4 linked regions of the Saccharomyces cerevisiae S288C genome follow. Changing the gene in region 1 together with any one later gene gives a genetic interaction. Each region holds a gene or a part of one and is shown in the gene's direction. Other genes may lie near its edges. The genes, in order: ACO1, OXP1, SOD1 and MRS3.

What was found.
Region 2: of ACO1 (region 1) and OXP1, extra expression of one rescues a mutant of the other (dosage rescue), as found in Saccharomyces cerevisiae (one study listed by BioGRID).
Region 3: of ACO1 (region 1) and SOD1, changing one suppresses a phenotype caused by changing the other (phenotypic suppression), as found in Saccharomyces cerevisiae (one study listed by BioGRID).
Region 4: of ACO1 (region 1) and MRS3, changing one suppresses a phenotype caused by changing the other (phenotypic suppression), as found in Saccharomyces cerevisiae (one study listed by BioGRID).

The regions. Positions count from the first base shown.
Region 1 is NC_001144.5:734,165-740,817, reverse strand, and holds ACO1 (aconitate hydratase ACO1), read left to right. Parts: upstream 1-3,269; coding exon 3,270-5,606; downstream 5,607-6,653. Other genes in the region: 1-phosphatidylinositol 4-kinase STT4, read left to right, coding at 1-2,657. UniProt on the Saccharomyces cerevisiae protein: Catalyzes the isomerization of citrate to isocitrate via cis-aconitate, a step in the citric acid cycle.
Region 2 is NC_001143.9:25,437-33,526, reverse strand, and holds OXP1 (5-oxoprolinase), read left to right. Parts: upstream 1-2,839; coding exon 2,840-6,700; downstream 6,701-8,090. Other genes in the region: DOA1 (Doa1p), read left to right, coding at 1-1,567; YRA2 (Yra2p), read left to right, coding at 1,834-2,445; URA1 (dihydroorotate dehydrogenase), read right to left, coding at 7,368-8,090. UniProt on the Saccharomyces cerevisiae protein: Catalyzes the cleavage of 5-oxo-L-proline to form L-glutamate coupled to the hydrolysis of ATP to ADP and inorganic phosphate.
Region 3 is NC_001142.9:621,179-625,686, reverse strand, and holds SOD1 (superoxide dismutase SOD1), read left to right. Parts: upstream 1-2,672; coding exon 2,673-3,137; downstream 3,138-4,508. Other genes in the region: ECM27 (Ecm27p), read right to left, coding at 1-849; ADO1 (adenosine kinase), read right to left, coding at 1,084-2,106; CTP synthase URA8, read right to left, coding at 3,197-4,508. UniProt on the Saccharomyces cerevisiae protein: Destroys radicals which are normally produced within the cells and which are toxic to biological systems.
Region 4 is NC_001142.9:158,056-163,136, forward strand, and holds MRS3 (Fe(2+) transporter), read left to right. Parts: upstream 1-2,563; coding exon 2,564-3,508; downstream 3,509-5,081. Other genes in the region: sphinganine kinase LCB3, read left to right, coding at 133-1,362; DPI8 (Dpi8p), read right to left, coding at 1,568-1,792; YJL132W (uncharacterized protein), read left to right, coding at 3,859-5,081. UniProt on the Saccharomyces cerevisiae protein: MRS3 suppresses a mitochondrial splice defect in the first intron of the COB gene. It may act as a carrier, exerting its suppressor activity via modulation of solute concentrations in the mitochondrion (possibly of cations).

The DNA.
Region 1 (6,653 bases):
ATGGTCCAGAGAAACCTAACACGATTTCTGGATTTATATCTTTACATTCTTGGAGGTCAAAATATCTTTTCGATACCGCTATTACATCATCACCAGAGGATATCAAAAGGCAAATAGGTATTTCCACTCAAAACATAAGAAAAAATTTGACCTTAGGAAATAAGATTATAACTAAAGACGTAACTGATTTTCTTGATATGGCTACCGCGTTGTTAATTCTTGGCAATGGTGCACCAGCGTCATTGATATATGATATTGTGCACATCCCGTTCGAAGTCTTCACCTCTGCATCTTTAAAGATTGCTACAAACGTATGGTTAACAATCATAACTGAGAAGCCCGAAGTTGCACATTTGCTTTTAGTTGAAGTATGCTATTGCTGGATGCGCTCCATTGATGACAATATTGGTCTCTATTCTCGCGATCATGACTTAAAGGGCGAAGAATACCAAAAAATGGAATATTCCCCTTACGACAAAGCAGGTATCAACAGAGATGCAAAAAATGCATCCCAAGCTATGCAACCACATCTTCATGTTATTAAATTTTTTGCTTCCCATTTCGAGGGCACACTATTTCAAAGTGACTTTTTATTGAAAATTTTCACGAAATGTGCGCTTTATGGTATCAAGAATCTGTATAAGGCTTCACTACACCCGTTCGCTAGAATGATTCGCCACGAATTATTGTTATTCGCGACTCTCGTACTAAACGCAAGTTATAAGCAGGGATCCAAGTATATGGGCCGTTTGTCGCAAGAAATCACAAACGGTGCCCTAAGTTGGTTTAAAAGACCAGTAGCGTGGCCATTCGGCTCAAATGAGCTGAAAATCAAAGCAGATTTATCTGTTACTAGGGACCTTTTCCTTCAGCTCAACAAATTAAGCTCGCTAATGTCACGTCATTGCGGGAAAGATTACAAGATCCTGAACTATTTCTTGGCAAGCGAAATCCAGCAGATTCAAACCTGGCTTACTCCGACTGAGAAGATTGAAGGAGCCGACAGCAACGAGCTTACAAGCGATATCGTTGAAGCTACCTTTGCTAAAGATCCAACATTAGCAATAAATCTCTTACAACGATGTTATAGCAAGAAAGCTGAGGATGTTTTAGTGGGCTTAGTTGCAAAACATGCTTTAATGTGTGTGGGGTCCCCAAGTGCTCTTGACCTGTTCATAAAAGGAAGCCACCTGAGCAGTAAGAAAGACCTACACGCAACCTTATACTGGGCGCCAGTGAGCCCGTTAAAATCTATCAACCTTTTCCTTCCCGAATGGCAAGGTAATTCTTTTATCTTACAATTCAGCATATATTCGTTGGAATCACAAGATGTGAACTTGGCATTCTTCTATGTTCCTCAAATCGTACAATGTTTGAGATACGATAAAACCGGATATGTCGAAAGATTGATTTTGGATACTGCGAAAATTAGTGTGTTATTTTCTCATCAAATAATCTGGAATATGCTTGCAAACTGCTACAAGGATGATGAAGGTATACAAGAAGATGAAATCAAACCAACTCTAGATCGTATTAGGGAGCGTATGGTTTCAAGTTTCAGCCAATCTCATCGCGATTTTTACGAACGTGAATTTGAATTCTTCGACGAAGTAACTGGCATATCTGGTAAGTTGAAACCATACATAAAAAAAAGTAAGGCTGAAAAGAAACATAAGATCGATGAAGAAATGAGCAAAATTGAGGTGAAACCTGATGTTTATTTACCTTCTAATCCTGACGGTGTAGTTATTGATATTGATCGGAAGAGTGGTAAGCCACTTCAATCTCACGCAAAGGCGCCTTTTATGGCGACCTTTAAAATAAAGAAAGACGTAAAAGATCCTTTGACAGGTAAAAACAAGGAAGTTGAAAAATGGCAAGCTGCTATCTTCAAAGTCGGTGATGACTGTAGGCAAGATGTTCTAGCGTTACAATTGATCTCGCTATTTAGAACCATTTGGTCTAGTATTGGCTTGGATGTCTACGTTTTTCCCTACAGAGTTACTGCGACGGCACCGGGTTGTGGTGTCATCGATGTGCTACCCAATTCGGTATCCCGTGATATGTTAGGACGTGAAGCTGTTAATGGATTATATGAATATTTCACTAGTAAATTTGGTAATGAATCTACTATCGAATTTCAAAACGCACGAAACAACTTTGTTAAATCCTTAGCGGGATATAGCGTAATTTCGTATTTGTTGCAATTCAAGGATAGACATAATGGTAACATTATGTACGATGATCAAGGACATTGTCTACATATCGATTTTGGGTTTATTTTTGATATTGTCCCAGGTGGTATCAAGTTTGAAGCAGTACCATTCAAGCTGACGAAAGAAATGGTTAAAGTGATGGGAGGTTCGCCCCAGACCCCAGCGTATCTGGACTTTGAAGAACTTTGTATCAAGGCATATCTAGCCGCCCGTCCGCACGTGGAGGCCATAATTGAGTGTGTAAATCCTATGTTAGGAAGCGGTCTCCCCTGCTTTAAGGGTCACAAGACAATTAGGAATCTAAGAGCAAGATTTCAACCTCAAAAAACCGATCACGAAGCTGCACTATATATGAAGGCGCTAATCCGTAAAAGTTATGAAAGTATATTCACTAAAGGTTATGATGAATTCCAAAGGCTCACAAATGGCATTCCGTACTGATATACTTCGCACTTTACATATGCTTATATAAAAATACCAGTTTCCCATCGTCAATTACGCAGACGTAGCCTTCGTTTATTTTCTCTCTTTTTGTATATCATTGTATTAATCATAATCCATTGTATTTTACTTTGTCTTATCTGGCTTTAATGAATGACGCCGGTCACACGCGGGTGCCTGATTCTCGATTGTGCCAAGCCATTTGGGCACGGTGTCAAATTACCTAAAAAATGGCCGAGAGCCGCAAAAGGGAGGTCCGCGGGGCCGGGCAATACCCTTTGTTTTTCGAGCATTTCGGCGCCGAAATCGGCAAAGGTCCTGACCAATCAATAGAGAAATTAGTGCATACGAGAAAAATTTGAACCCTTCAGTTGTTCTCCGCAGGCGACTTTAACCATCAAACCTCCAATCGCTGCCGGTTTTCGGAAAGGCAAGCACAAAAAGGGAGGACAAGGAAAATCTTTTGTTATATATATAATCTTCCGGTTTTAGAGGTTAATTAGGAGGAGTATGTTGCTTAATTCCGTTGTCCCTTGTTCTGTTCACTCTTTCTTAGTTATTACATAGTAGAACGAAGGTAATAAATACTACCATTATTACTATAGATATACAATGCTGTCTGCACGTTCTGCCATCAAGAGACCCATTGTTCGTGGTCTTGCGACAGTCTCCAACTTGACTAGAGATTCAAAAGTCAACCAAAACTTATTAGAAGATCATTCTTTTATTAACTACAAGCAGAATGTGGAAACGCTGGATATCGTAAGAAAAAGATTAAACAGGCCATTTACCTACGCGGAAAAGATTTTGTACGGTCACTTGGATGACCCTCATGGTCAAGATATTCAGAGAGGTGTTTCATACCTAAAATTAAGACCAGATCGTGTTGCCTGTCAAGATGCTACTGCTCAAATGGCTATTTTACAATTTATGTCCGCTGGTTTACCACAGGTTGCTAAGCCAGTCACTGTCCACTGTGACCATTTGATTCAAGCACAAGTTGGTGGTGAAAAAGATTTGAAGAGAGCTATAGATCTAAACAAGGAAGTTTATGATTTCTTGGCCTCTGCCACTGCGAAATATAACATGGGTTTCTGGAAGCCAGGTTCCGGTATCATTCACCAAATTGTTCTGGAAAACTACGCTTTCCCAGGTGCTTTGATCATTGGTACTGACTCCCATACACCAAATGCTGGTGGTTTAGGTCAATTGGCTATTGGTGTTGGTGGTGCTGATGCCGTTGATGTTATGGCAGGTCGTCCATGGGAATTGAAGGCTCCAAAGATCTTAGGTGTTAAGTTGACTGGTAAGATGAACGGTTGGACTTCTCCAAAGGATATTATTTTGAAATTGGCTGGTATCACAACTGTCAAAGGTGGTACTGGTAAAATTGTTGAATATTTCGGTGATGGTGTTGACACCTTCTCCGCTACTGGTATGGGTACCATTTGTAATATGGGTGCTGAAATCGGTGCTACCACATCTGTTTTCCCATTCAACAAATCTATGATTGAATATTTGGAAGCAACTGGTCGTGGTAAGATCGCTGACTTTGCTAAATTATACCACAAGGACCTATTATCTGCTGATAAGGATGCTGAATACGATGAGGTCGTCGAAATTGACTTGAACACTCTGGAACCATACATCAATGGGCCATTTACCCCCGATTTGGCTACTCCAGTTTCTAAGATGAAGGAAGTTGCTGTTGCTAATAACTGGCCATTGGATGTCAGAGTCGGTTTGATCGGTTCTTGTACCAATTCCTCTTATGAAGATATGTCTCGTTCAGCATCCATTGTCAAGGATGCTGCTGCTCATGGTTTGAAATCCAAGACCATTTTCACTGTTACTCCAGGTTCTGAACAAATCAGAGCCACTATTGAACGTGATGGCCAATTAGAAACCTTCAAAGAATTTGGTGGTATCGTTTTGGCAAACGCCTGTGGCCCATGTATTGGTCAATGGGATCGTAGAGATATCAAGAAAGGTGACAAGAATACTATCGTTTCCTCTTACAACAGAAATTTCACTTCTAGAAATGATGGTAACCCACAAACTCATGCTTTTGTTGCATCTCCAGAATTAGTAACTGCGTTCGCCATTGCGGGTGATTTGAGATTCAACCCTCTAACAGACAAATTAAAGGACAAGGATGGTAATGAGTTCATGTTGAAACCACCACATGGTGATGGTTTGCCTCAAAGAGGTTATGATGCTGGTGAGAACACTTACCAAGCTCCACCTGCAGACCGTAGCACCGTTGAAGTTAAAGTTTCTCCAACTTCAGACCGTCTACAACTGTTGAAACCATTCAAACCTTGGGATGGTAAGGATGCTAAAGACATGCCAATCTTGATTAAGGCCGTCGGTAAGACAACTACTGATCATATTTCTATGGCTGGTCCATGGTTGAAATACAGAGGTCATTTAGAAAACATTTCTAATAACTATATGATTGGTGCTATTAATGCTGAAAACAAGAAGGCTAACTGTGTTAAAAATGTATATACTGGTGAATACAAAGGTGTTCCAGACACTGCTAGAGATTACAGAGACCAAGGTATCAAGTGGGTTGTTATTGGTGATGAAAACTTTGGTGAAGGTTCCTCTCGTGAACACGCTGCTTTGGAACCAAGATTCTTGGGCGGTTTCGCTATCATCACAAAGTCTTTCGCTCGTATCCATGAAACTAACTTGAAAAAACAAGGTCTATTGCCATTGAACTTCAAGAACCCAGCTGACTATGACAAGATCAACCCTGATGACAGAATCGATATTCTGGGTCTAGCTGAATTGGCTCCAGGTAAGCCTGTAACAATGAGAGTTCATCCAAAGAATGGTAAGCCATGGGATGCTGTGTTGACCCATACTTTCAACGATGAGCAAATTGAATGGTTCAAATATGGTTCTGCCTTAAATAAAATTAAGGCCGATGAGAAGAAATAATGAAAACATTGTTATAATCTTTTAAAGGTTATTATTTATTTTGTCTTCTGTACACCGTACCCTTGTTTATCTTTTCTGCCTTAAATTTAATGACGTTCGGCTGGAGAAGTCAAGACTATGAAATATATCTCGTAATTTATGATCGTATATTATTTATTTATTGATTGTTTTATTGTTTATTTATTTATTTAAGTACCCCTATTGTACGTACATAAAAAAGCAAAACTTTTATATTATATTGTTGCTGATTATGTACTCAGTTTAACGAGGATTAAAAAAAAAAAAAAATTAAGTAATAAGTGCACCGTCTGTCAGACGGTCGAATTTAAAAATAAATGGTCTCTAGCGGGATCGAACCGCTGATCCCCGCGTTATTAGCACGGTGCCTTAACCAACTGGGCCAAGAGACCAAACTTTGTTGAATGTTGAGCAAGTTAACATCTTATAGGACATATTAAACTATGACGACATTGTTGCAAATAAAACACTATTGATTGCTTAAAAGGGCAATCCGACTATATCTGAGACGAACAAAGACACTGTTGGAATAAAAATCCACTATTGTCTATCAACTAATACTTATACTATCAATATATTATAATAGACGGCGTTAGATGATGACATAAGTTATGAGAAGATGTCATCGAGGTTAGAGGAAGCTGAAGTGCAAGGATTGATAATGTAGTAAGAATGTGAATATATCACATAGAATCACCAATTCCATTTTATGGATTCCTATACCACGAGGAGAACTAGTATGTCCTGGCTATCTAATATTATGGCCTCTAGCAGCAACGAAATGCCAACAATTAAATCCAAGTTCACCTATTCTGACTTTTATATTTAATAACTAACATTTTTATCAACGATGGAATTCCAACAGCTTTACTAATCTTTACTTGTAATTTGGCTTTTTAGATCTATAATATTTATTGTATGGAAAGTAGCATCCAACCAAATCCCGCGAAGTTTTCCTGATTTACATAACAAGCAAATACTAAAAACGTTAACACACATGTGCTTCTTTATTGTAAAGAAACCTCCATC
Region 2 (8,090 bases), on another chromosome or scaffold:
CAGTTGTTCAAACGATGGCCTCATCAAGTTGGTTGATATGCATACAGGTGACGTACTAAGAACATATGAAGGCCATGAAAGCTTTGTTTATTGCATTAAACTGCTGCCCAATGGAGATATTGTAAGCTGCGGCGAAGACCGAACAGTCCGTATATGGTCAAAGGAAAATGGTTCGTTAAAGCAGGTAATTACACTTCCTGCCATCTCTATTTGGTCCGTTGATTGTATGTCTAATGGTGATATTATTGTGGGAAGTAGTGATAATCTTGTGAGAATATTTTCGCAAGAGAAGTCAAGATGGGCTTCCGAGGATGAAATAAATGAACTATCTACGCAAGTGGAAAAATCCACTATAAGTTCCAAGACAATAGAATTTGATGAGTCTAAACTATCACCTTATGAAATTTTACAATCGCCGGGGCGCAAAGAGGGTCAAATTGTGGTAGTCAAATCACCTCAAGGTACTATAGAAGCTCATCAATTTTCAAATTCTTCATGGAAAAAGGTTGGTGATGTTGTCGGTGCAGGTGCTACTGGAAACGACAAAAAAATAGAATTCGAGGGTAAAACGTATGACTACGTATTTGATGTGGATATTGAAGATGGAAAACCTCCCTTGAAATTGCCGATTAATGTCAGCGACAACCCATATACAGCAGCCGACAATTTTTTGGCTCGTTATGAACTGCCAATGAGTTATAGGGATCAAGTAGTACAGTTCATACTGAAGAACACTAATGGCATATCGCTAGACCAGCCCAACGATAATGCATCATCTTCTGCAGTATCACCTTCAAAAACGAGCGTAATGAAGGTTCTTCCTGTCAAGCAGTATCTTATCATGGAAAATTATAACCCAGATACTATTTTCAATGGAATAGTAAAAATAAATTCAAATGAGAAGACCTTTGATGATGAAATTCTGGCGCAAATTGGTGGCGCACTACATGACATAGATGAAAGCTGGGAGTTGCTACTTTCATTTGCTAACACTATAAGATCTAACTGGGAAATTAAGACTCCTGCATACGACATAGTACGATTGATTGTAAAAAAATTACCTTATTCTTCAGATATAAAAGATTACATCGAAGAAGGCTTGGGCAATAAGAATATCACTCTAACCATGTTAACTGTGCGTATTTTGGTAAATTGCTTCAATAATGAAAACTGGGGTGTGAAATTACTGGAATCAAATCAAGTTTATAAATCAATTTTTGAGACTATAGATACTGAATTTTCTCAGGCATCTGCTAAACAGTCACAGAATTTGGCTATTGCAGTTTCCACACTAATTTTCAACTATTCAGCTCTCGTCACGAAAGGGAACTCTGATTTAGAACTTTTGCCTATCGTAGCTGACGCCATCAACACCAAGTATGGGCCATTGGAAGAGTATCAAGAATGCGAAGAAGCCGCATATAGGCTAACCGTAGCTTACGGAAATTTGGCTACTGTTGAACCTACATTAAGACAATTTGCCAACTCCGTAACTTGGCTTGCAAACATCAAAAGGAGCTATGGGAACGTGCCAAGGTTTAAGGATATTTTCGACGATCTCTCCTAATACTTTTACAGCAATCATATAAAACACATAATGTCTAGATAGCAAATAATCTTTAAAATTCTTTCTGCCCTATTGAAAATTATGACAAACTATCACGGTCATTTTCTGTCTAACTCGGCAAGAAATTATCATCGTGAAATGAAAAAGGTTACATACAATAAGGTTATTTTGAGTACAGACTGATAAATAGATGGAAAAGACTAAAAAACTGAAACGATAAGCGTCTAGTACCTTTTCCATTAGACGATTCAATACTGCATTTTGCAATGGACAAAGCATTTGACGAAATTATTGGAAATAGTCACACAGACAGCTCATCTAATCATAAGGTAACGAGATACCGCAGAAGGGATTTAAGAAATGAATTAGGACCTAGACTGGGATTTGCGCCTTCGGATGCTGCATCAAGGTCGAAAGATCGCCTTTATAGAGAGAGGGAAGAGCCTCCTTTGCCTAAGAGAATTAGAATATCCAAAATCCCACTAGACGTTTCTGACTACACCCTCGATGATATGATTAAAGAGTTTGGCTCGCCAATATTTTCGAAAATTTTTGACAATAAAGAGGATCGTACATGTATTTACGAATTTGAAGACCCAGAAGTTTTGGAAAAGATTGTCGAGCGTTATAATGGACATGAGTTACATAATGCAAAAATTGAAGTGGAGATTTACCAACCACAGAGAAAGCATTCTAGAATGAATGCCCACAACCGTCGCAAACAGACGGCTCAAGAACACGGAAGAGGCAGGCCAGGGAGCCATTATCGCCAAAAGCCTAACAGAGTCTCCAAAAAGAACAAGGGCCGTGAGAAGAATAACACTCCTACTTCTGTCGAAGCTCTTGACGCTGAATTAGATGCTTACATGAAAGGTTAAGCAATTGTGTATCTACTTATAATTTCTTTATAGTCTTTTCAATGTTTTTTTACTCCATCAGTCTACAGATATGAAACCTCAGTACTACTTTTTACCTAAATAATTAATTTTTATTTCTAGAGGGTAGCAATGATAAACACTTTACCAATCTCTGGAATTAAGAACAAGCGTACTCCGCTCTATTCAGTATTATTTGCATGAATACTTCAACAATTGTTTTGTTTGCCTCAGGTGCTTTTCCGATTGAGCACGATCGCCATAACATTACCACTGAAAAGAAAGATAAGATCAAATGTTACGTGGTGTTGAAGAAAGAATGCCAAAAACTAAGAACTGAACTTAAACAGTAATAATTTTGAGCATTGAAAACCTAAATATAACTTCTTGGTATACAATGCAGAAAGGAAACATAAGAATTGCCATCGATAAGGGTGGAACTTTCACTGATTGTGTGGGGAATATTGGTACAGGTAAACAAGAACATGATACTGTCATCAAGCTCTTGTCGGTGGATCCCAAAAACTATCCAGATGCTCCCCTTGAAGGCATAAGACGTCTCTTGGAGGTGCTTGAACACAAGACAATTCCTCGCGGTATTCCTCTAGACATCTCTAATGTGAGAAGTTTAAGAATGGGGACAACCCTAGCTACAAACTGCGCTCTAGAAAGAAATGGTGAACGTTGTGCCTTCATTACTACGAAAGGCTTTAAGGATTCATTGCTGATTGGAGACCAAACCAGGCCAGATATCTTCAACTTAAATATAAAAAAGGTAGTGCCATTATATGACACTGTAGTTGAAATAGATGAGAGAGTTACTTTAGAAGATTTCTCGGAAGACCCTTATTTTACCAAATCGTCTCCTAATGAACAAGAAGGTATCCTGGAAGGTAATAGTGGCGAAATGGTAAGGGTCATAAAGAAGCCAGATGAATCAAGCGTAAGATCTATTCTGAAAGTGCTTTATGCTAGCGGAATCAAGTCTATTGCGATAGCATTTTTACACTCATACACTTTTCCAGACCATGAGCGAATTGTTGGTAATATTGCCAGGGAGATTGGGTTTTCTCATGTTTCATTATCATCTGAAGTCTCTCCAATGATAAAATTTTTACCGAGGGCTCACAGTTCTGTCGCAGATGCCTACCTTACTCCGGTAATTAAAAAGTACTTGAATAGCATTTCTGCAGGTTTGAGCCACGCAGAAGATACCCACATTCAATTCATGCAGTCTGATGGTGGTTTAGTGGATGGGGGAAAATTTTCCGGTTTGAAATCTATTTTATCTGGTCCTGCAGGTGGCGTAATAGGTTATTCTAGTACATGCTATGATAAAAATAATAACATACCCTTAATAGGCTTTGACATGGGAGGAACATCTACTGATGTCAGTAGGTACGGCGATGGGAGGTTAGAACATGTTTTTGAAACTGTTACCGCAGGGATCATCATACAATCTCCTCAACTTGACATCCATACTGTTGCTGCTGGAGGAAGTTCTATTTTGTCATGGAAAAACGGGTTATTCAGAGTAGGCCCTGATTCAGCAGCTGCTGATCCAGGCCCTGCAGCCTACAGAAAGGGCGGGCCTTTGACCATTACAGACGCCAACCTCTTTTTAGGACGTTTGGTTCCTGAGTTCTTCCCCAAAATTTTTGGGCCCAATGAGGATGAATCACTTGACTTAGAAACCACTACTTTGAAATTCAGAGAATTAACAGATGTCATCAATAAGGATCTGAATTCAAATCTAACCATGGAAGAGGTTGCCTATGGATTTATCAAAGTAGCTAACGAATGCATGGCAAGACCTGTGAGGGCCATTACAGAAGCAAAAGGACATGTAGTATCTCAGCATCGGTTAGTTTCCTTTGGCGGGGCTGGCGGGCAACACGCCATAGCGGTTGCAGATTCATTGGGCATTGACACTGTTTTAATTCATAGATATTCTTCTATCTTGTCCGCTTATGGCATTTTCTTAGCAGATGTTATTGAAGAAAACCAAGAGCCTTGCTCTTTTATCTTGGGTGAGCCAGAGACCATCTTGAAAGTGAAAAAAAGATTCTTAGAACTTTCTAAAAATTCAATCAAAAACCTTTTATCTCAGTCGTTTTCTCGGGAGGACATAGTCTTGGAAAGATATTTAAATCTCAGATATGAAGGTACTGAAACCAGTTTGATGATATTACAAAAATATGATGACCAATGGAATTTTAGGGAATGGTTCTCTGAAGCTCATAAAAAAGAGTTCGGATTCTCATTCGATGACAAACGAATTATAATTGATGATATAAGGATAAGAGCAATTGGGAAATCAGGCGTTAGAAAAGAAAAAACGGTTGATGAGCAATTGATTGAAATTTCCCATTTCAAGAAAGCCGACGTGTCAAAGGATGCTAGTTTTACCCAGAAAGCATATTTTGACAACAAATGGGTCGACACTGCGGTCTTCAAAATTGATGATCTTCCTGCCGGAACAATTATCGAGGGCCCAGCCATATTGGCTGACGGTACCCAAACAAATATTATTTTACCAAACAGCCAAGCAACAATTTTAAACTCTCATATATTTATCAAGATCAACCAAAAGGCTGCGAAGACATTATCTAAAAGCGGATATGAACTTGATATAGATCCAATCTTATTGTCTATTTTCAGTCATAGGTTTATGGATATCGCCCTCCAGATGGGTACTCAATTGAGGAAAACTTCTGTTTCAACTAACGTCAAAGAGAGATTAGATTTTTCATGTGCACTATTCGACTCTAAAGGAAACTTAGTCGCTAACGCTCCTCATGTACCTGTTCACTTAGGATCAATGTCAACCTGCATATCAGCACAGGCGAAGTTATGGGAAGGCAAATTAAAGCCTGGTGATGTTTTAATCACAAACCATCCGGATATTGGTGGTACTCATTTACCAGACATAACAGTAATAACTCCTTCTTTCTCTTCAACTGGCGAATTGATATTTTATGTGGCTTCAAGAGCCCATCATGCAGATATTGGAGGTATTCTACCCGGTTCAGTGCCTCCAAATTCCAAAGAATTGTACGAAGAAGGAACCGCAATTTATTCCGAATTGGTTGTCAAAGAGGGAATTTTCCAGGAAGAATTAATTTACAAGCTTTTCGTAGAAGATCCAGGCAAATACCCAGGCTGCTCAGGTTCAAGAAGATTTAGTGATAACATAAGCGATTTAAAAGCGCAAGTCGCAGCTAACACAAAAGGGATACAGTTAATTGGGTCATTAACTAAGGAATATGATCTGGCTACAATATTGAAATACATGGCTGCAATTCAGACAAATGCATCTGAATCCATAAAAAAAATGCTTGCAAAAATGGTTGAACATTTTGGCACAACGAAGTTTTCTGGCGAAGATCGCTTAGATGATGGAAGCTTAATTAAACTACAAGTTATCATAAGACCTGAAAAAGAGGAGTATATTTTTAATTTCGATGGCACTTCTCCCCAAGTTTATGGTAATTTAAATGCACCAGAGGCTATTACTAATTCTGCGATTCTTTATTGTCTACGGTGTCTAGTAGGCGAAGATATTCCTTTAAATCAAGGTTGTTTAAAACCCTTAACAATAAAAATTCCTGCTGGTTCCCTCTTGAGCCCCCGATCCGGTGCTGCTGTTGTCGGAGGCAATGTATTAACTTCCCAAAGAGTGACAGATGTAATCTTAAAAACATTTAACGTCATGGCAGATTCTCAAGGTGACTGTAACAACTTTACATTTGGAACTGGAGGAAATTCTGGTAACAAAACCGATAAGCAGATCAAAGGCTTTGGATATTATGAAACCATATGTGGCGGCTCGGGGGCTGGTGCAGATTCATGGAGAGGAAGTGGTTGGAATGGCTCAGACGCTGTACACACGAATATGACCAATACAAGAATGACAGATACTGAGGTATTTGAAAGGAGATACCCCGTTCTGTTGAAAGAGTTCTCGATCAGAAGAGGTTCAGGAGGCAAAGGTAAATATACTGGCGGAAATGGCGTAGTAAGGGATGTTCAATTTCGGAAGGCTGTAACAGCATCTATATTATCAGAACGTCGTGTCATTGGCCCTCATGGTATAAAGGGAGGACAAGACGGTAGTAGAGGTGAGAATTTATGGGTAAGACATAGCACAGGCGCATTAATCAATGTCGGCGGTAAAAATACGATTTACGCTCAACCCGGTGATCGATTCATCATTAAAACCCCTGGTGGTGGGGGATTTGGACAATACAAGGATTAAAGCATTTCTTTTTGGTTCTTAGTCAATATCGAATTACACGGAACCATTGGTATACCGTGGATGCGCCAGCCACAAATTGACTTTTACAGAAAGTACAGTTTAATTATATAAGAACAGGCACTTAACAATGTTTCGGAACTCTGTAGATAAAACCAAATTACTCTTTCGAAAAGGCTACATTCTACATCAAAATCACCTGTGCAATATATATATATATATATATATATATATATATGCACATATTCGTTAATTTCTTCACTTTTTTCCCCAAATATTAAACAGATGGCTTCATTTCTTCAACATTATTTTCTGGTTCCTATGCCATTTTTAGCCTACTAATAATTATCGTTGAAAAATGTTTCTTGAATAAGTCTTAATGTAAGGATATATCATATGTTGAGATATAAAAATTTAAGTATAAATGAATCAAGACAATAATTTACATTGATTAAGTTATTTCAAAGTATAAGTATTTAGTATCATCATCTATTAAAGCACATTGAACCCTAATGTATGATGCCAATTGCGAATGCACTCACCGAAAAATTAAGGAATTAGCATTTACCAACTATCCTTGATTTATGCAATTTCAAAATAATAAAATATTCATACGAATCTTAACACTCTTCCATAACTTGTCCCATCATAGTTCTTCAAATTCCGATAATTAAATGCTGTTCAACTTCCCACGGAACTGATCTATGGATGTATAACCCTTAGCTTCCATTATGTCTTTTAATTCTTTTTCGATACGTTCAAAAATCTTGACGCCCTCTTTTTGTAATTCTGTACCAATCTGTAGCATAGAGGCACCACATAGAAGATGTTCAAATGCATCCTTACCGGACTTAATTCCACCTGTACCGATAACTTTGATTTCAGGTCTCAAACGAGTGTAAAATGCACGAACATTGGCGAGCGCGGTTGGCTTAACATATTCACCTCCAATACCCCCGAAACCATTCTTTGGCTTCACTACTACACTCTCCTTCTCCACATCAATGAAAAGACCATTTCCTATACTATTGATAGAGTTGACATAAGCTAATGGGAACTCGTTCAATATTTTTGCCATGATATCAAAATGGGCAAAATCAAAATAAGGAGGCAACTTGACACCAAGAGGTTTTTTGAAAAAGGCAAAAACCTTTTCCAAGGTTTCCTTTGTCAAGTCAAAGTCATAAGCAACTTGTGGTTTCCCAGGCACATTAGGACAAGACAAGTTTAACTCGGTAATACCGTTGAATTCGCTATCTTGGATTTTCCTCAACAAATTTAAATTTTCATCAATGCTCATACCAGCAACTGAGAAGAAAATAGCAGGTGCATCAGGATAATTCTTTTGACGGTTTAATACATAGGACAAATAGTAGTCGATACCTTCGTTTGG
Region 3 (4,508 bases), on another chromosome or scaffold:
CATTTCATTCCTTGAGTCATCCTCCTCCAAAGATGAGTTTTCAAGCATTGATAAGAAACTATTGAAATCCATAGCAGATAGCAAACTAGGCTTAATGCCGTGTGTTATAGAATTGGATATGTCAAAGCCAGGTTGTATTGGTGGTAGTAAACCAGAAGCCATCAGAGAGTCATCCAAAAAAGGAGAAACGGAGTTTTCTCTGAGGCTCGTATCCGCAGCAGTTTCATCTGGGGTTTCTGCAGAATGATTAAGCTTGAAAGTTAACTTAACGACTAGATAAAAGGCATAAAGGAACGCCATCAAAAGGCAATTCAGCACAGTGACCTGATTCATAAGGGAAACGTAACTCATTACGCACATGGCAGCTAAAGAAAATAACAAGTCTCTCATGATGGATAGTTTTTGAATTTGCGAGATTTCAATGTGAGTTCTTGACATAATAATAAAAATGGAGCCCTCTACAATGCACAGGATAATGCCGCAAGCGCCAAGCACCTCACCAATTGATAGCGATACTGAGGTTGACCTTGTTTCTCTCGTAGAGGTTGCCCAGCTCATTAAGTTGGAAAATAGGTCAGGCGAAGAGTTACACCAAGATAGTAGAACTGCCATTAATGCCCCAGTATGAGATGCATGGGACGCCGTTTTTGAGACTAAAGAACCATTCGATCGAAGGCTGTTGGGATCTGATATATGGGCCACGTTGGGGCAAAGAAAATCGGATGCACATATTCCTAATAACACGAAAGCAATAATGATATGAAATAAGCTCGGCACAATAAACGTTACTGAAAGTTTAGGATCCTTGTAAAGTAATCGTGGATGGGCGACATTGATTGCCCAGTCCATATTATTGTGTTATTGTTGCTTGTGTACGGCCGTATGTGGAGAGGATGAACGAGTATTTTGTTCTTAGCGCTGCTTGTCCTTTTTTCTTGAAGCTGTACTTTATAGCGCCTCTTTTCCTTATTGTGGTAACGGTGGCTTATTTGGTTTAAGAACAAGCGGTAAACATGTCTACGAATGAAAAGCTAGAGGGAACACGTAGAGTATATTTTATTTCTATTATATTGTAAGAAGAATCTATTTAGAGTAAGATATTTTTTCGGAAGGGTAAGAGGGACCAACTTCTTGAATAGACAAAGCAGCTAGCCATTGACCCATGTCAATAGAGGTTTCCAAATCTTCACCTTTAGTCAACCCAGCCATAAAGCCACCAGCGAAGGCGTCACCAGCACCGTTGGTGTCGACGATCTTAGAAGAGTCCAAAGGTTTGACTGGATATGTGCTGGTACCCTTGGAGGACACGACCACTGTTGGTTCGACACCGTGGGTGAAGATGACAGTCTTTTCAACTGGAGAGTCCTTGACAATTCTTTGAGCAATAGCTTCCAAATCAGTGTTGGCACAGTCTAATTGGAAGGCGTCGCAAAAGGCTTCGGCCTCCGATTCGTTAGCGATGATGACGGTAGCATAAGGCAAAACTCTGGCCAATGCGTCTTTGAAGACATGAGGAATGAAAGGAGCACTAAAGTTCAACACGAAAGGTTTGCTGTTCTCTTTAGCATGTTGGCCCAACTTAACGATAGCGTCTGGAGACACGGTCAAGTGGAAACCACCGATGTAGAAGAGCTTAGCTGCTTCGACCAAGTCCCAATGCTTGTCCAAGTGGTCTGGAGTAAAGAAATTGGCAGCACCCAAGTCAGTGACCAAGGACCGGTTATGGCCAGTGATTAATGCGGCACACTTACCGGTACCAATATCATTTTGAACTTGGTACATAGACTTGACACCAGCTTTTTCGTTTTCGTTAAGCAATCTCTCGCTGAACTTGTCCTTACCGACGGAACCGAAGTACACCACCTGGCCGGCGCCCAAAACGTATGCTGCCCCTCTAGCAGTGTTTTGAGCAGCACCACCTGCAACAAGCTTTGTTTCTGGCATCTGTAAGAGCTCGTCAAAAATAGCCATCTTAGCATCGCCTGATTTGGCATCGACCAAAATTGCGTCGTTTTCCTTTAGAGAATACTTGGCCAGGTATTCAGCCGTGACGTCGGCTTGGAAATCTAAAAGTGGGTTACCCAATACTACCAATGGTGCGGTCATAATTGCTTGCTCTTTCTTTTGCTGTTATCTTTGGTTCTACCCTGCACAAGATAAACTGAGATGACTACCTAATTAGACATGGCATGCCTATAAGTAAAGAGAATTGGGCTCGAAGAATAATTTTCAAGCCTGCCCTCATCACGTACGACGACACTGCGACTCATCCATGTGAAAATTATCGGCATCTGCAAAAAAAGTTTCAACTTCCACAGGTAATATTGGCATGATGCGAAATTGGACGTAAGTATCTCTGAAGTGCAGCCGATTGGGCGTGCGACTCACCCACTCAGGACATGATCTCAGTAGCGGGTTCGATAAGGCGATGACAGCGCAAATGCCGCTTACTGGAAGTACAGAACCCGCTCCCTTAGGGGCACCCACCCCAGCACGCCGGGGGGTTAAACCGGTGTGTCGGAATTAGTAAGCGGACATCCCTTCCGCTGGGCTCGCCATCGCAGATATATATATAAGAAGATGGTTTTGGGCAAATGTTTAGCTGTAACTATGTTGCGGAAAAACAGGCAAGAAAGCAATCGCGCAAACAAATAAAACATAATTAATTTATAATGGTTCAAGCAGTCGCAGTGTTAAAGGGTGATGCCGGTGTCTCTGGTGTTGTCAAGTTCGAACAGGCTTCCGAATCCGAGCCAACCACTGTCTCTTACGAGATCGCTGGTAACAGTCCTAACGCAGAACGTGGGTTCCACATTCATGAGTTTGGAGATGCCACCAATGGTTGTGTCTCTGCTGGTCCTCACTTCAATCCTTTCAAGAAGACACATGGTGCTCCAACTGACGAAGTCAGACATGTCGGTGACATGGGTAACGTAAAGACGGACGAAAATGGTGTGGCCAAGGGCTCCTTCAAGGACTCTTTGATCAAGCTTATCGGTCCTACCTCCGTTGTAGGCAGAAGCGTCGTTATCCACGCCGGCCAAGATGACTTAGGTAAGGGTGACACTGAAGAATCTTTGAAGACTGGTAATGCCGGTCCAAGACCAGCCTGTGGTGTCATTGGTCTAACCAACTAATGTTAATGATAATATACTTGAATAAAAACCGTATGTAAGTAAGTAGTAAGCGCATCAATTCATTCATTTTCATTTCCCTCGCTTAGATTTATGTCCTTGATCACTTCACCAAGTGTGCCGGAGGCTGCGGCCACAAGCCCCCAAAACGGTCTTGATGGTTCCAGCACCTTCGATGTATACTCTGGATGGTATTGAGTGCCCACGTAGTATGGATGGCCTTTCAATTCGAATATTTCGCAACGCTGGCCCGTCTCGTCCTTACCAACAAAAATAAAGCCACGAGACTCCATATCATTCACTATTTTCGGGTTTATCTCATAGCGATGACGATGTCTCTCATGCACCTCATTAACTTCACCATAAAGCTTCCTTATGTTGCTCCATTCTGAGTTCGGTTGGAAAATGGTAGGCCTCAAACCCAATCTCATCGTGCCACCCATGTGTTCCTTGTCGATCTCGGGCATGTATATGACTACTTGGTCTTCAGGAGCTAGTAGTGTCTCGTCCAAAAATTCTGTAGAACTGCTGTTTGGGCGGCCTATCACATTGCGGGCGAACTCGATAGCGGCAACTTGTAATCCAAGACAGACACCAAGAAAGGGAACACCGGATTCACGGGCCCATTTGGCAGCAAGAATCATACCTTCAATACCTCTCGTGCCAAATCCACCAGGAACCAAAATTCCGTCGGCGGAACTGAGCTTATTCCATGAATCGTGGAACTTGTTCTTGTCCACCTCTTGAGTTTCGGGCTCTAGGTTACTTGCCTCTACCCAGAGGATTTCTAGCTGACGACGGCACTTCATGCTTGCGTGTTCTAAGGATTTGGTCACAGATAGGTAGGAATCCTTCAAATTAGTGTATTTTCCCACAAGAGCAATCTTGACAACATCATCAGAATCATCTAGGTTTTTGGTCATGTTTTCCCAGTTAGTCAATAATTGAGACCCTCTTTCCTTGTCTTCCAAGGTTAGAGGCACTTCACCTAATTTCAACCTTGAATGGAGGTAGTCGATCATATGTTGCTTTAGCAGCAATAAGGGAACGTGGTACGTGGAGTTAACATCATGAACGTTGACCACTTGCTCCGGCCCCACATGGCAAAACATGGCAATCTTGTCAATAGTGCTCCTGTTAAGTTCTTCGCTGCATCTGCAGGCAATCATATCGGGAATAAGCCCTAATGACCTTAAATCTTTGATTGCTGCTTGGGTGGGTTTCGTCTTCTGTTCACCATGAATGACGGGCACAAGTGAAACATGGATCAGGGCGAAATTCTCTCTTCCAACTTCGAACTGAAATTGTCGTAATGCTTCCACGAAGGGCGCACTCTCAATGTCACCGACCGTACCACCTAACTCGATGATACAG
Region 4 (5,081 bases), on another chromosome or scaffold:
GTTGTCGTCACATTATAAGGGCAGTAAGAAAAAGCAGAGTTTAAGAAAGTTTGTTTACATACAACCATCACGTAGAGGAAATTCTTCAAACCTACCAGACCAGCGGACACAAGCCATTTGTATAGATAAAAAATGGTAGATGGACTGAATACCTCGAACATTAGGAAAAGAGCCAGGACTCTCTCTAACCCCAATGACTTTCAAGAGCCTAATTACTTGCTGGATCCCGGTAATCATCCCTCAGATCATTTTCGAACTCGAATGTCCAAATTTCGGTTTAATATTAGAGAGAAGCTGTTAGTGTTTACCAACAATCAATCATTCACATTAAGCCGCTGGCAAAAGAAGTACCGTTCTGCGTTTAATGATCTCTACTTTACTTATACTTCCTTAATGGGATCGCATACCTTCTATGTTCTGTGTTTACCTATGCCCGTGTGGTTTGGATATTTTGAAACAACAAAAGATATGGTTTATATCTTGGGATATTCTATCTACTTGAGTGGTTTTTTTAAAGATTACTGGTGCTTGCCCAGGCCTAGAGCACCTCCATTACATCGAATTACGTTAAGTGAATATACAACGAAGGAATATGGTGCTCCAAGCTCCCATACAGCAAATGCAACAGGAGTGAGTCTCTTGTTTCTCTACAACATCTGGAGGATGCAAGAATCTTCTGTCATGGTCCAACTATTGTTGTCATGTGTGGTTTTATTTTATTATATGACTTTGGTTTTCGGTAGAATATACTGTGGGATGCATGGCATATTAGATTTAGTAAGCGGTGGGCTCATTGGAATAGTGTGTTTCATTGTTAGGATGTATTTCAAGTACAGGTTTCCGGGTTTACGCATTGAGGAGCATTGGTGGTTTCCTTTGTTTAGTGTGGGATGGGGTCTTCTTCTTTTGTTTAAACATGTTAAGCCCGTAGACGAATGTCCTTGCTTCCAAGATAGTGTTGCGTTCATGGGCGTTGTGTCAGGTATTGAATGCTGTGATTGGTTGGGCAAAGTGTTTGGAGTCACCCTGGTGTACAATTTGGAACCTAACTGTGGCTGGCGGTTAACCTTAGCCAGGCTGCTGGTGGGCCTACCGTGCGTTGTTATCTGGAAGTACGTGATCAGCAAACCGATGATCTACACGTTATTGATCAAAGTTTTCCATCTGAAGGATGACAGAAACGTTGCGGCAAGAAAAAGACTGGAGGCCACGCACAAAGAAGGTGCAAGCAAGTACGAATGTCCATTATATATTGGAGAGCCCAAGATTGACATTCTAGGTAGATTTATTATCTATGCTGGCGTTCCATTCACCGTTGTAATGTGCAGCCCCGTCCTATTTTCCCTCTTAAATATAGCATAAAACAAAAGGAACAAAAAAAAAAAAATAGACAAAATGTAGTGTAAATGTATCCGTTTCTAAATTAAGTACTTATAAAAAAATATGTAACTGAAAAAGTCATGTTGTATAAAAATTTGAGGCACCGTACCAGGACCCCAAAAGAAGAATAGGTTAAAGTCATCATCATTAATAAACCAGGAAAGAAAAGAGCATAATTAAGATACGCCTACAACTTTGGCGCGTGAGCCAAGTGTCTTCTGGTAGCTAGTGAGGCACTCAAGGGACCATATGTCTTGGCATTTTCTCTATATTCCTTAAAAGAGTTGAACGAGTTGCCCGGAGATCTCTTGAAAATAGTGCTGGCCATGGCGCTAGCGGCTATCCTTGAGACACCCGCGGAGGCGGCTGAAGAAGAGACGGCGGCGGCTAATCTGGTACTTTGGGCGATCATTTAATACGTTTATTTACTGTCTTATGAATGTAATATTTAAACTTGTGCGTAATCATTAAAACAAAGGTGAAAAATCACATTAAACATCTCCCTACATTACTTTCGGTTTATTCTTTTATATGTGTGAAACTTTCTCTCTGCACCAGGAAGTGGTCATGCTTGATGCTCGGCTCCCACCGGAAAAACTAACTTGCGGGCGGGAAATTGATCCCTGAAGTCATGCCCCTCACCTTCATTCGTGGATCTTATCTCCAGAGCAACCAAATGTGGAAATGGCATGACACCCCCCCACACACGTTCCGCCCACTTTTTTTCAAATGTGTGACACACCCATACCCCATAATGTTGCACGTGACAGGTTTGTATCACGTGCTTCTTAGGGTTTTGTTTTAGGTCTGAGACATTTTAGGGTTTTTTTTCATCAAGTCTAGATCGTTTGTAACGAACGATTGCTCCTTTTTTCTTTTTTTTTTGCTTTTTTTTTATACTCACCGTTTACTGTCATTATGTCTCTCGAGAAACTGGGCGTGTGTGCTAACCAAGACTGGATCACCTTTACATAGCACTTATTGCATTTCTTGGTGTTTCGTACCCTACAATTGACAAAAGTAATTTTGTCGTTCATTTCTTCATCGATTCTTTCCTCTTTCAACAACTTCCTTATTTTATCTTGGGATCGTAACTTCACTTAATTAATCACGATTCCCATATTCGTTAACACCTCTTAAGGTTTGCTGTAAATATATTTATGTTATAAAAAAAGAAGATATTATGGTAGAAAACTCGTCGAGTAATAATTCAACAAGGCCAATTCCAGCAATACCTATGGATCTACCCGATTATGAGGCGCTCCCCACCCACGCGCCATTGTACCATCAACTTATAGCGGGTGCATTTGCTGGTATAATGGAACATTCAGTGATGTTCCCGATAGATGCCCTTAAGACGCGAATACAATCAGCCAACGCGAAATCGCTGTCTGCCAAGAATATGCTTTCGCAAATATCTCACATCTCTACTTCCGAAGGAACTCTAGCCCTATGGAAGGGTGTTCAGTCTGTCATACTAGGTGCGGGACCTGCGCATGCAGTGTATTTTGGTACGTATGAGTTCTGCAAAAAAAATCTTATCGATTCGAGTGATACGCAAACGCACCATCCTTTTAAGACAGCTATCAGTGGTGCCTGTGCCACCACGGCATCTGACGCATTAATGAACCCATTCGACACAATAAAACAGAGAATCCAACTCAATACCTCGGCATCAGTATGGCAAACCACAAAGCAGATTTACCAATCTGAAGGTTTGGCAGCATTTTATTATTCTTACCCAACCACCCTAGTAATGAACATCCCATTTGCAGCATTTAATTTCGTCATATATGAATCATCCACAAAATTTTTAAACCCATCAAATGAGTACAACCCCCTCATACATTGTCTGTGTGGCAGTATCAGCGGATCGACATGTGCGGCGATCACAACACCTTTAGACTGCATAAAGACAGTACTGCAGATAAGGGGCAGTCAAACAGTTTCGTTGGAAATTATGAGAAAGGCGGATACTTTTAGTAAAGCAGCCAGTGCCATATATCAAGTTTATGGCTGGAAAGGGTTTTGGAGAGGTTGGAAACCAAGGATAGTGGCAAACATGCCGGCTACTGCTATATCATGGACAGCTTATGAATGTGCAAAACATTTCCTAATGACGTATTAGTTGGTTCTTACATGTCATATTATTTTCCATTCATTTTGCATCTCAGAAGATTATGTGTATATTATCATTTTCCTGTTGTGACTTTATGTACATTTATATATACAAATTTAATTTGATAATCCCAAAGCTTGAGCTCTTTCCCTCAACGAAAAGTTTTCATTTTTTCTTCATTACTTTATATATCTATGTTTAGTATACCCAAAGGGTATTTCGGACGCAGGCAAGCTGCCATTATTTATAGCGGAAACTCTAAGAGTGGTAAATCTATTTCTAAAAAAAAAAAAGATTCATTCAAGCGCCCTCCTTGGTTAGTTAGTTAGAAACATGTATTCAGAGGGAATTAAATAAAGATGAGTATAATTAGTTCTTGGTTACTTGTCTCTATTATTTGCTTAACTACTTCTATTGTAACAAAATTGCAAGCTGCTGGAGTTACTACCCATCTATTTTATTTAACAAGAGGTGCTCCCTTAAGTTTAAAGGAAAACTATTATCCTTGGTTGAAAGCTGGTTCTTTCTTTCCGGATGCTTTGTACTCATGTGCACCTTCAAATAAGGATTGGTCTGATTTTGCAGAATTCACTCATTGGCCCAATTTCTTAATGATTGCAGTATCTTATTGGCAGCAAAAGTATGGTCAGAACGATCGACTTCGGGGAACTCACGGCTCACTCGCACTAAAGTCATTTTTAATAGGGGTATTCACTCATCAGATAGTTGATGTTTCCTGGCATTCGTTAGTTACCGATTATAGAATGCACGGACTACTCCGAGTTCTCAGCGAAACAGAATTTGATGGAGATATTGAAACTGCTCATACGTTTTTAGACGTTATGGGTGAATTCCTCACCTTAAATAATGTAATCCGTGACAGTAATAATAACGAAAATTGGGATTTTTTAACTCGCTCTGATTGGAAATTGCCCAGAGAAGAGGATTTAATGGAAATTATAAGGAACGCTGGACTTTCAAAGGAAAAGTTGTCCTACGCAGAACTGGAATTTTGCGTTAAAAGAGGAATGGCAGCGGCTATTAGTGAAGGGTACCTATTCCGCTCTCAAAGAAACCAATTGTTAACTAATATTTACTCAACATCCCCCAGGGCTAATGATCTAATACTGAATCATTGGCTAGGAGGGCAGTCCAATTTGGTTGCAATGCTCCAAAGATGCGTGCCTTTCTTCGAGACTTTGTTTCATGACGAGAATACTAATGAAGCTCAAGCAGAAGAACTGAGATTATGTGCTAATTTACCGCCAGTATCACAAAAACGGATAAATGCACGACCTTTGGTCTCTTCATTAAAAGCACGTAAGGGAAATAGCCACATTGTCGTATCTCCCATGAAATCATTTTCCGATTTTGGCACAAGCCTGACTATGGGAAAATTTCGAGAAGACAACAAGGATTATCTCGCTGTAAGTGCACCACTTGAAGACACAGTTGGTGCAATCTATATAGTTCCATGGGATATTCTAACTGTAGCAAGAAAAGAGGATTTTAGCATTTTACAACCCATCACTGCCATGTACGGTTCAAAGGTCGGGACATACAAGGCAAGTGATGTTGACTA